2 linked regions of the Drosophila melanogaster genome follow. The protein of the gene in region 2 interacts with the protein of the main gene of each other region in a biochemical or structural test. Each region holds a gene or a part of one and is shown on either strand. Other genes may lie near its edges.

What was found. The genes of interacting proteins can lie anywhere in the genome.
Region 1: of the proteins of ea (region 2) and spz, one has a biochemical effect on the other in vitro, tested with the Drosophila melanogaster proteins (3 studies listed by BioGRID).

What each region holds. Positions count from the first base shown.
Region 1 is NT_033777.3:27,068,436-27,072,525, reverse strand, and holds the start of spz (spatzle), read left to right. Parts: upstream 1-2,455; 5' UTR 2,456-3,316; coding exon 3,317-3,382; intron 3,383-4,090. UniProt on the Drosophila melanogaster protein: The activated form, spaetzle C-106, acts as a ligand for the Toll receptor. Binding to Toll activates the Toll signaling pathway and induces expression of the antifungal peptide drosomycin.
Region 2 is NT_033777.3:15,325,774-15,332,583, forward strand, and holds ea (easter), read left to right. Parts: upstream 1-2,955; 5' UTR 2,956-3,159; coding exon 3,160-3,220; intron 3,221-3,309; exon of another isoform or gene 3,310-3,406; coding exon 3,407-3,793; intron 3,794-3,857; coding exon 3,858-4,588; 3' UTR 4,589-4,635; downstream 4,636-6,810. Other genes in the region: CG6236 (uncharacterized protein), read right to left, coding at 1-80, 158-462, 519-879, 937-1,540, 1,603-1,790, 1,857-2,007, 2,154-2,272; mRpL9 (mitochondrial ribosomal protein L9), read left to right, coding at 4,981-5,052, 5,110-5,784; Fkbp39 (FK506-binding protein 39kD), read right to left, coding at 5,931-6,775. UniProt on the Drosophila melanogaster protein: Component of the extracellular signaling pathway that establishes the dorsal-ventral pathway of the embryo.

The sequences.
Region 1 (4,090 bases), about 12 Mb from region 2:
GCCAAGGTGCCACATCGATTAATGGGCGTCCTAAATGAGCTCGTTTCCCTCTCGATTAATAACTATTAGGTTAATTGGATCAAGTCGTTGGAAAAATGGCACCTTAATTACTTAAGCTCTGTGATTTTCATTTGGCACTTCAAATTAACAGTTTAGGCTTACCTAATGTTCGCAAAGTTTGTGCTAATATGATACATAAAATGATTAAAATTAAAAGAGGAAGTATATTTGCTCATTAAAGCTAATCTACGCACATATTAACAGGTATTCAAAGCTTTACAAAGTTAATCATACTACAACTATTGCAAGACATTGTGAAAAGTCTTGACCTTTTCCAATGTATCAATTCTCAGACAAACGTATGATTCAATGTTTACTAATAAGTTGTAACTTTAGCCGTTTCGCTGAAAGTAATTAATGAAGTTAGTTAAGGCGGTGCTAACTTAAAATTTTACTGCTAAATGGATTTCAAATTAACATTTAGGATAGTGGAAGCTGAAATTATATACATTAACTTAGCTCATAAAAATACAATTTGGAAACCTCCTAAATATATGCACCACAAGCTTAATAGATCCCTAAAGTATGCAAGTAGATTTAAACAAGTTTGATGCAATCGTAATATATTGAAATGGTTTGTTCAGTTGAGGATTTAATTGATTTCTGAGAATTTTAGATTGTTTAGAACAGATATGTATGGGCATTACAATAATACAAAATTGCATCATCATGCAATTTAGTTATCTACTTACACAGCCCCCCTTCATTGCATTTTATTACGTACTAATTGATAAAGAAATTCTTATGAATCAACAGTGCAGCTGATGTTTCTACGAAATGGCCTCAACTCAGTCATTGGTGCATAATTCGGGGGAAAGGCTATGCTATGAGTAGATATGGCCAAGTAAAATGCATTCTGCTAAGAAGTTCCCGTTTTTCCATGGCGAACGACATCCACTTTGGGCCATAAACATAAGCACACAAGGTAGATCCATTCAGGCACGACTGCGTCAGATGCCGTTTACATGGCGATTACTTGCAGTGTGCGACTTAAAGATGCGGTTTTTTGTCCGCCGTTCTCGGAAATACCAATTGAGTCACCATCTTTCCCAAGCGCCTCAGCACGCTCCAAGGCGGCGACTGGCGGGCTAATTTAAGCGATTCGGATCTGCGGCTCCCATGACGCGTGCGCCAACGGAACTGGCGTTTGCGGCACCCGTTCGGAATATCAAATGTGTTAGAAATATTAGATGGGCTCCAACGTGGGGATAGTTTCATTGGTGGTGGTGCCGAGAGCAGAGCAGTTGTGCTCCGCGAGCTTTGATGCCGAGCTTTGGCCCGGCACCACTTTTACTTTCAGCAGCAACAAGTGCTGGCCGGCACCTTCTCACAGGTCAACTTGACCGACTGTGAGAAGCCCTACACTTGGCTAACATGGGTTTAGCCCGATAGAGAAGGTGGTAATCAACCACCCACTTGCCACAAAGTTTGGTTATTTTCAGCTCGGGGAAATTTCTATATTTTCGGGCTACCTATAAACTTGTTTTCTTTCTGGATTTAAATAAAAGTGATAATTCAATCGCTGCTTCTTTAAGTATACCTAATAAAAAAGCAATAAATCTCTAATCGCGTATGTTCAATAACAAGCGGACAGATAATAGTTAATTACTAAAATGGGTCGACGAAAAGGGCAAATTTGTACATAAGTGTTTATTAAGTACAGTATTCATTATTTCAAACGGAAACTTAATCATCCAAAATGCAGCTTTGATTGACTTCCGCAGATAACAAAGCTCTGACTTCGAGGCATCCAAACATTACTCTGTGGCTGCTCTAACTTTTTCGTAATATTTGTTTTAAAAAATTTTGCGATAACGAAGTTAATTTTTGGTGTCAAATGCCACTCAAACGATATGTACATTTTATGCAAAGCTTTATGGCAACTATGCTGATTAGAATGAATAAAATGTTTGTATGGAATTAGTTTTTGAAAGTATGTTTTTAACTTATGTGTTAAAATAGTACAATTGAGGGTTTGATATTCTTCTTAAAGCTCCAGTGATTTGTATTTGGTTTAACAACAGATGTAATTAAAAACGTTAGTCATTATAGTGTTAGTTTGATGTGCACTTACTTTTCTCCAAGTGTAATATGATTCAGATAATTCCGACTGGTAAAGTTTTTCGTGAAGCAGGCGCAATTAGTAGCACTGCTCGGAGTCAGCTGTGATAAAATCGCGGTCCGCTCGCCCAGACGTCCCGCTCCCTCGCACGACCCTCGCGCTCACTACCCATCCCGCTTCCACCGCCTCTGACCGGCGGCGTCTCGCTCGCGCACAGCGCCCGCTCCCGCTCACACTCTCGCAAGCTAGCTTAAAGCTGCACTTAAGCACTGAGCAATTGTTTGGGGGAGCAGACGAGTCGAGTCGGCGGCCTCTGGGCTCCACTTTTCATTTTCAGTTGCCTCCCAGACGTGCGCTCTCGCTGTCGTGTGTTCTCGATCGCGAGAAATCCAAATCGAAATCGCAGTCGAAATCGAACTTGGTTAATGCTTAACACTCTGCATGCCCGGGAGATATGGTGAAACTCTCGATCTGACCGGAAAATCCCAGCGCGCGTCGCTATAAACACTTAAGATCGGTGGCAGATGGTATCGGGCTTGAGGTCCATAAAAGCGCATTCATCTCGAGCTTTTCGTGTCACTCAAAGACGGCGCACAGAGCCGAAAAGTTGAAGACTCACATATCCTGCGATCAGCTACTTGGATAGCCCATTGCCCAGTTGCAAGCCAAATCGGTTATAAACGATATCAATATCGCGGCATTTCATCAGAGCAACCAAATCGAACCGATCCGAAAACGGTTCCACTAAAGCGGCGAGAGCGAAACTAAAGTGAAAAGCAAACCGACTAATTGAAGTGTCTGTCTGTGTGTCTCGCAAACGTGCAAAGGAAACAAACAAAACGGAATAGCCAACATATCACACAGAGCCACCGCACAAAATATTTATAAATAAATAAGAGGCAACAGTAACACCAGCTACCAGTATAAAGGCCCGGCATTAACATTTAGTCGTGCCAGTTTGTTTATTTTTTATATACGCAAAGCCCATAAAAAGAAAAAAACGCACAGATCACTAAAAAACAACAGCAGCCGGCGCTATAATAACAAAGTTGTAGAAATAAGAAAATTGGTATAAGACGCCACCGATCCGCCAATCACCTGCTATATACTATTACTAATCCCCGACGCAGACGTTCGCCGTCCGCAGAATCTATATATATTTATAAATCCAATTGATTAAGCCCGAGATCGAGCATGATGACGCCCATGTGGATATCGCTGTTCAAAGTCCTGCTGCTGCTGTTCGCCTTCTTTGCCACGGTGAGAAATTTACAATTTTACAAATTTCAAAACAGTCGAACCTCCATAAGGGAAACTTTCAAAAGAAGTTAAAGTTTTAAAATTTAAAGATCTTTGCGTCGAAACAATAATTTATTCCAAATCTATCTAATCTGATAAAAGGTTAAAGTCTCCTTGTCTTCTTAAGACAAGCACTTAAGATCTTAAGACTCCAGAACTTGATTTTTTGTTTATTTGAAACAGGTGCTCGCTTGTTCCAGTTATGAAAGTTCGACTGCATTTCTGTTTTTTTCTGTTCCGTGTTAATCTATGCTTAACATAACTGTCATTTCATTGCAATATATTTCGGGCTATGGGCTTTTTAGCTATTAAGATTTATTTTAGATTTTCCATAGTTGTTCTAGCAGTTCCATTAGCCGAAGGGCAGTTTCAAGTTTAAATTTAGTCACAGACTAGAAAACCTGTTCGCATTGCCAGCGGCAGGTTATGTGCAATTTTCATTCTCTATATGATAAATGCACATCATAGGCATTACAATAATATTAATTGACACAAACAATGCCAGACATTCTGCACACGACTTTGGAAGTAATTTACTGCCGGACAAATTGTATGATCATCTCTGTGAGAAAAGCAATTAGTTCGTATTAATGGCGTCGAATGTTAGAAAATCCGTTTGAAAAGCGCCCGAGAACTTTTGTCTTTCCGGTTTTCCGCGAATTCCGCAGC
Region 2 (6,810 bases):
CCGTCGCGGTCGCTGTTTGTCCTGAATTGCAGCAGCTCCTTGTGCGGCTGCAGACGCAGCGCCCAATTTACACGGTGAATCTGTTGAACAATGAAACAAATGGAAGTATGATCTTTATCTTATCTGGAAATGTAATCATTAAATTGATGATTCGAACCTCCAGAGGTGCACAGTATTGGCGTTGCTCGACTGTGGCCAAGTTGATGGCATTTACAATACTTTGGGCAGCCTTGAGAATGATGCCCGTATACCGGGAGTCGTTCAGCTGCAATGGCAGCCAATTGAGGCAGGCACACCAGTGAGGCTCTATGTAGGCATCCGCACAGGATCGATTGCTCGGAATTGGATCCAACAGCGACATGGCACGTCCACGGGCTAACTCCGAGATGCGAATCCCAGGCGGGCTTGTTTCAGTTTTCGGATCGTTTATTTCTCCAAATTGATCCACAGCGGTTTGCAGTTCTGTGAAAAATCCAGCATTATTATCTTGTAGATGTCTAACGCTCTGTCGTACATACGTATTACGTGTTTCAGCGTGGCATGAATGTCGAATGGCGTGGTCAGGTGATGCTCGTTGGCCAGAAAGTTTTTGTACTCCTGCGGAAAGCGCTTCTTAAACGACTCGGGAAATACGAAACTGAAGAACGGCAGACGCTCTTCCTGTTTTCCCTGCAGAGTGGCTCGCACCTCGGCAAATCGATTGCCATGATCGGCCATCATGATGAGAATGGTGTCGTCTAGCAGCGATCGTTCCTTGAGCGCCACCAGCCAGTCATGGACATCATCATCCGCTGCTCCCACTAAGTTGATGGAGTCGTGGGACAAGCCGCCATGGAAGCTGAAGGCAAAGCGCGGTGCATCGCGATACTTAAGCATAAACTGTACGAAAATTATACAATGAGTTAGTTTCCAAGCACATTTCGAAAGAGAACATACGTTTTTTGTGTACTCCAGCATGGTGATGTGATCAGGCTGGTGGCCAATGCAGTTGGGCTTGCTCTCGGCGGCCATGTGCTCCGCCTGGACATAGTAGGTACGCAGGTAGTGGTCCACCGGCTGGGCCTCAAACCCTGTCATGCGGTACGTGAAAGTGCCCACATTGGGCAAATCCTCATTAAAGGAGGTCATATATCCCAGGCGGGCAAAATCCTTCCAAATCATAGGATACGAATCCACGCTGCCTGCCCCGGACAACCGCTTCCTTGTCTCCGGCAGCTCCAGTTCCGTGAAACCCGTCAGTAGGGGCACCAGCGCCTGTGGCGTACCATCGCCCACAATGTTATAGCCTTTGAGAACGGTGGCGCCCAACTGTTGGGTGAGATACTCGTAGGTCCTGGGCAGCTTGCGAATGAAGGCATTGCGACTCAGCGAATCGAAGCCAAACATGAGGACATTGTAGATGGGAGCTGTGGCCCCATCCTGCATCTGCTGCTGGGCCTGCGCAACCGCCTCGGGTGGTAGGACGGCCAAGTTCGGGGAGAAATTGGAGGCCGGTGGACGGGGCACCGTATCCCGTATTCCGTGGGCCATGCCAAACCAACTAAGTACATGAAGATCATTCTTTAAAGTATAGGCATAACTATAAAATAAGATAATGGTCACCTCTCGCCGCTGGAGGATCGACAGACCACCTTGACAAAGTCGCTGGCCTGCAGCACATAGGGCTCCTTCATGCGCAGTGACTGCCCAAAGCGAACCTTGTAGTCCGACTTGCGAATAATGTCCGTGTAGGAGCAGATCACATCCTCGTGGCTGGACGCAATCTCTGGTCGCACAAAGCAAATGGATTTCTTTGGGGGAAACGAGGTTTAAGTTAAGCAATCAGCTCTTGTAGAAGGGGCCCAGTCCCAACCAACCTCACACATGACCCAGTCCATGCCCTCGCCGCAGTTTATTCGCTCAACCGGCTTGTAGAACTTCATGATGTCCGGATTGTCCAGCGGCAGATGGGGATGCCGGCACTCGCCACGATTCACAGCCGATCTTATGGAGCGCTCGATGATTTCGCTTTAATTAAATACAAAATTGAATTAGTTGCAAAAGATAAATACTCTTTATCACAAATATGCGCATATGTACATATACATATGTATGGACAAACATCGTACAATCAATATCCCAAGCCGCTGTGACGCACAACTAGACATACTTACATTTTGAGGCTCTTATCCAGATCCCGCTCCACGTTCAACACATACCAGGTGACCAGCAGGACCACCACACAGCAACATGCTGCAATCTTGGGGACAGTTCCCCGCCGCACAAAGCGCATTTTGAATAAATTATGAGCTGCAAATATCGGACCAGACACATGAGACTTGCATTCGCATTATTGCTGCACATACAGCACTCACTCGGCACTCAAGCGACGTACTACTTACACCACTGCCGATCTCCAAACTTGCCGCCTATTCGACCTTTACTAAATATCCACGCTCATTTTTTAAATTAAACATTTAACTTATCACCAGCTGCGACGTACCGCTATATGCGAGTTGCCAAAACAGTGGCAAACAACATTGCGAATTCGGTCATACTGTGTTGTTTGGCAACGCGACCGCTGCAATTTAAACTGCGACTTTAAACTTTGCTTTAGGTCCGATTTAAAGTCGGTAGAACTTTCAGTTTGCTGTAGAACGAAATATACCGTTAGCTTATCGTTAATGATAGTGCTTTTTGCTATCAAAACACCATGTGATACAATCGAACTTAGGCGGGGATTAAATAATGGTAGATACTCCCTTAAATTTGCCGAGTACTTTACTTACACTCAGCATGTGACAAAGTAAATTCTATTAGTACCAAAGTTAAATAAGCCAACTGACAATTACTAAGAATAATAATTGGAAGAGAGATAAAGATCTGCTCCCACGATTATCTTCATATCTGATTTGGAGACTCGCCAAAAAGCTTGCGACAAAGCTCGCAGGCCGAGAACCGCGTCCGTCCGAAGATTCAGTTGTGCGCCAAGCTCAGCTTCGGCCTCTTCGTTTCACTCCGCTCCGCTGTGGCACCTGGTATCGTCCATATTATCGCGCCGTTTATTTTGATAACTGCTTCTGCGGTCGGTCTGTAATATTGTTTTTAGGCAAAACATTATCCGCAAACCACTGACGACGTCTTGAGAAAGGACTAACGAGGTCCGATTGCGCAACGAAAATGCTAAAGCCATCGATTATCTGCCTCTTTTTGGGCATTTTGGCGAAATCATCGGCGGGCCGTAAGTAAATAGAAGACTGCCAAGATGCTCATCTGCTGGACATGACTAGCTTAACGTATTTGTTTTTTTTTGCCGCGGGCCTTCACAAGTCGCTGGAAACCTGTTTCCGTACTTCCATAGCTAATGACCTAATTTATGTATTCACAATATTGGTAAGCTCTCTGAACCTAAAGTCTGGATTTCCAGAGTTCTACTTCCCCAACGAGGCGGCCCAGGTGCCCAACTATGGGCGCTGCATAACGCCGAATCGGGAGCGTGCGCTGTGCATCCATCTGGAGGACTGCAAGTACCTATACGGCCTGCTGACCACCACCCCGCTCCGGGACACGGACCGGCTTTACCTGAGTCGCAGCCAGTGCGGCTATACGAACGGCAAGGTGCTCATCTGCTGTCCGGACCGCTACAGGGAGAGCTCATCGGAGACGACGCCACCGCCCAAGCCCAATGTAACCAGCAACAGCCTTCTGCCGCTGCCAGGACAATGCGGCAACATCCTGTCCAATCGCATCTATGGCGGAATGAAGACCAAGATCGACGAGTTCCCCTGGATGGCTCTAATTGAATACACCAAAAGTAAGTAGAGGGGCATCGTCTTAAGTCTGAACGCACTTATCCACTGGTTAATTCCTACATGCAGGCCAGGGCAAAAAGGGTCACCATTGCGGCGGATCCTTGATCAGCACAAGATATGTGATCACAGCCTCGCATTGTGTCAACGGAAAGGCACTGCCCACCGACTGGCGGTTGTCCGGTGTTCGTTTGGGCGAATGGGACACCAACACTAATCCCGATTGCGAAGTAGATGTGCGCGGCATGAAGGACTGCGCGCCACCGCATCTGGACGTGCCCGTGGAGCGTACTATACCCCATCCCGACTATATACCGGCCTCCAAGAACCAGGTCAACGACATAGCCCTGCTGCGTCTGGCCCAGCAGGTGGAGTACACCGACTTTGTGCGACCCATTTGCCTGCCTCTGGACGTCAATCTGCGGTCGGCCACCTTCGACGGCATCACCATGGACGTGGCCGGCTGGGGCAAAACGGAGCAGCTGTCGGCCAGCAACCTCAAGCTGAAGGCAGCCGTGGAGGGATTCCGGATGGATGAGTGCCAGAACGTCTACAGCAGCCAGGACATTCTCCTCGAGGACACACAGATGTGTGCCGGCGGCAAGGAAGGCGTCGACTCCTGTCGCGGTGACTCCGGGGGACCGCTCATCGGCTTGGACACCAACAAGGTGAACACCTACTACTTCCTGGCCGGCGTCGTGTCATTTGGACCGACTCCGTGCGGTCTGGCCGGATGGCCAGGAGTTTACACGCTGGTGGGCAAGTACGTTGATTGGATACAAAACACTATTGAGTCCTGATTGTAAAATGTCATATTGTAAATAAATTCGACTAACGGTTTCCGTTTAAAAACTGCTTCACAGCGTGTACGCATACTGCATGTCGATGGGCGCGTTCGCCGAAATATTGGCATAGTCAATCTTTTATTTTGTAATGAAACTATTAAATTAAAATTGACAGTCATAATACTTTCAAAGGTACATTTTTTTTAATCAATTAAAAGGTAAATTGGGCAAATTATTTTGCTTTATTAAAATGTAAAGAAATAGTTGCAATAAAAAAACTAAATTCATAATCGTTTTCAAAGTCACTGAAAATTTTACTGCTGAACTCACGCAGATTAAATAATCATATCTGGCAACACTGCAAACTGGCTGAGTAGTCTGGCAACGCAGACATATTGGTGGTAAAAATGTTGAAGAACATCTACGTAACGCCGTTAAATTTGCTTAAATCGGCCACCAGCCTGCAGCAGCAAGTGCGGGTAAGTGCTCTCCTGGATTAGGGAAGCGATCCCCATTCACCACCAATTTGCTTCCAGACCACGTTCGTCCTGAAGCGCAAATATGACCCGCCGCTGCACAAAACCAACGAGAAACCCCGCCGGATGAGGGCCAAGAACTTCATCTACGAGCTCGTGGACGACACGCTGGTCAAAAAGCGGCCCAACATCGAGGTGGTGCTAAAGACCTTCGTCGAGGGCGTTGGCGACAAGGGCGACGTGGTGTCAATGAAGCCGCACTTTGTCTACAATAAGCTCCTGCTGCCGGGTTTGGCCGCGTACAATACGCCGGAGAATGTGGCCAAGTACGCCAAGACAGAGGCTGAAAAATCGACTGTTAAACACAGCTCCCCCTACGCCCAGCGCACGGTCAACATGCTGGAGACCATTGTGCTGGCGGTGGTCATGAACAAGGATGAGCCATGGGTGCTCGAGCCCTGGCACATCAAGGCCTCGCTGCGCAAGACTGGGTTCTATTGTCGCGAGGAGTGCATTACCCTGCCCAAGGAGCGCATCGAGGGACCCGACCTGAAGAAGGAGAACAAGGACTTCTACTGCACTGTGACCATAAACAAGCTGGAACAGGCGCGACTCAAGTGTCGTCTGCACCACTGGAGCACAGATCCCAGCGAACGGCTGCCTTACGTACTCGAGCACTGGAAACTCCAGTCTGAGCCCCTGCTGGATGTATGTTCACCCGAAAAAACCCCTTAGAGACCCCATACCAAATACATGCGATTGTTACAAAACTGTTGATTTATGAACAGCCGGAAAACAGAGTTTATTTAACATTTTTATCAAGTTGTACGACGTGGATACTTACTTAGGATTACAAGTCTATATGATGTTAATATAGTGCACTAATGCACAGCTTTCAGTTCCACTTCGAAGACGAGAGTGGAGTTCGGTCCGATCTTCGGTGGAGCTCCCCGTGCGCCGTACGCCATGTGCGGGGGGCAGGTAATGACTCGCTTGCCGCCCACCTTCATGCCGGCGACTCCCACGTCCCAGCCCTTGATGACCTCTCCGCCGCCCAGGGCGAACTTAAATGGTTTTCCCTTCAGGAGGCTGTCGAAGGTCTTGTTGTTCGACTGCAGGCGGCCGATGTAGTAAACAGATACGCGTTTGCCCTGCTTGGCTTCTTCGCCTTTGCCGACGACCTGATCCACAATCTTCACGCCTCCGGTGATAGTACGTGGATCCTTAGAAGCTGGTTGCTGCTTGGCTGGCTCCTTGGCCTTGGGTTGTTCCTTCTTGGCCTCTGGCTTCTCCTTCTTCTTTTGCTGCTGCTTGGCCTCCTCCTTCTTGGCCACACCGTTCTGCTCCTTGCCAGATTTCTTGGCGCTAGCGCCAGGAGAGAGCTTGGCAACCTTGGCCTTTGGCTGTTCCTCTTCAGCTTCGGAGTCGTCGCTGTCCTGTTCATCCTCCTCGCCACTCTCCTCGTTATCCTCATCAACATCGTCGTCATCTTCCTCCTCACCATTTTCGAGGAAGGACTCGTATTCCTCGATTATCTGGCTATCGTCATCAGTATCCTCCTCGTCCTCCTCGCCGCTCTCATTCTCATCCTCATCATCTTCAGACTTTTTGCTATTCTTGATCGCCTTGGAGTTCAGCAAATTCTCGATCGTCATTTGATCGTCATCCTCATCATCTTCGGAATCAATGTCGTGCAAGTAGCCCAACAGAGAAACGCTGGCGTCGCCTGTGAAACGAACGAAAGCGTCAGAAACGGATAAA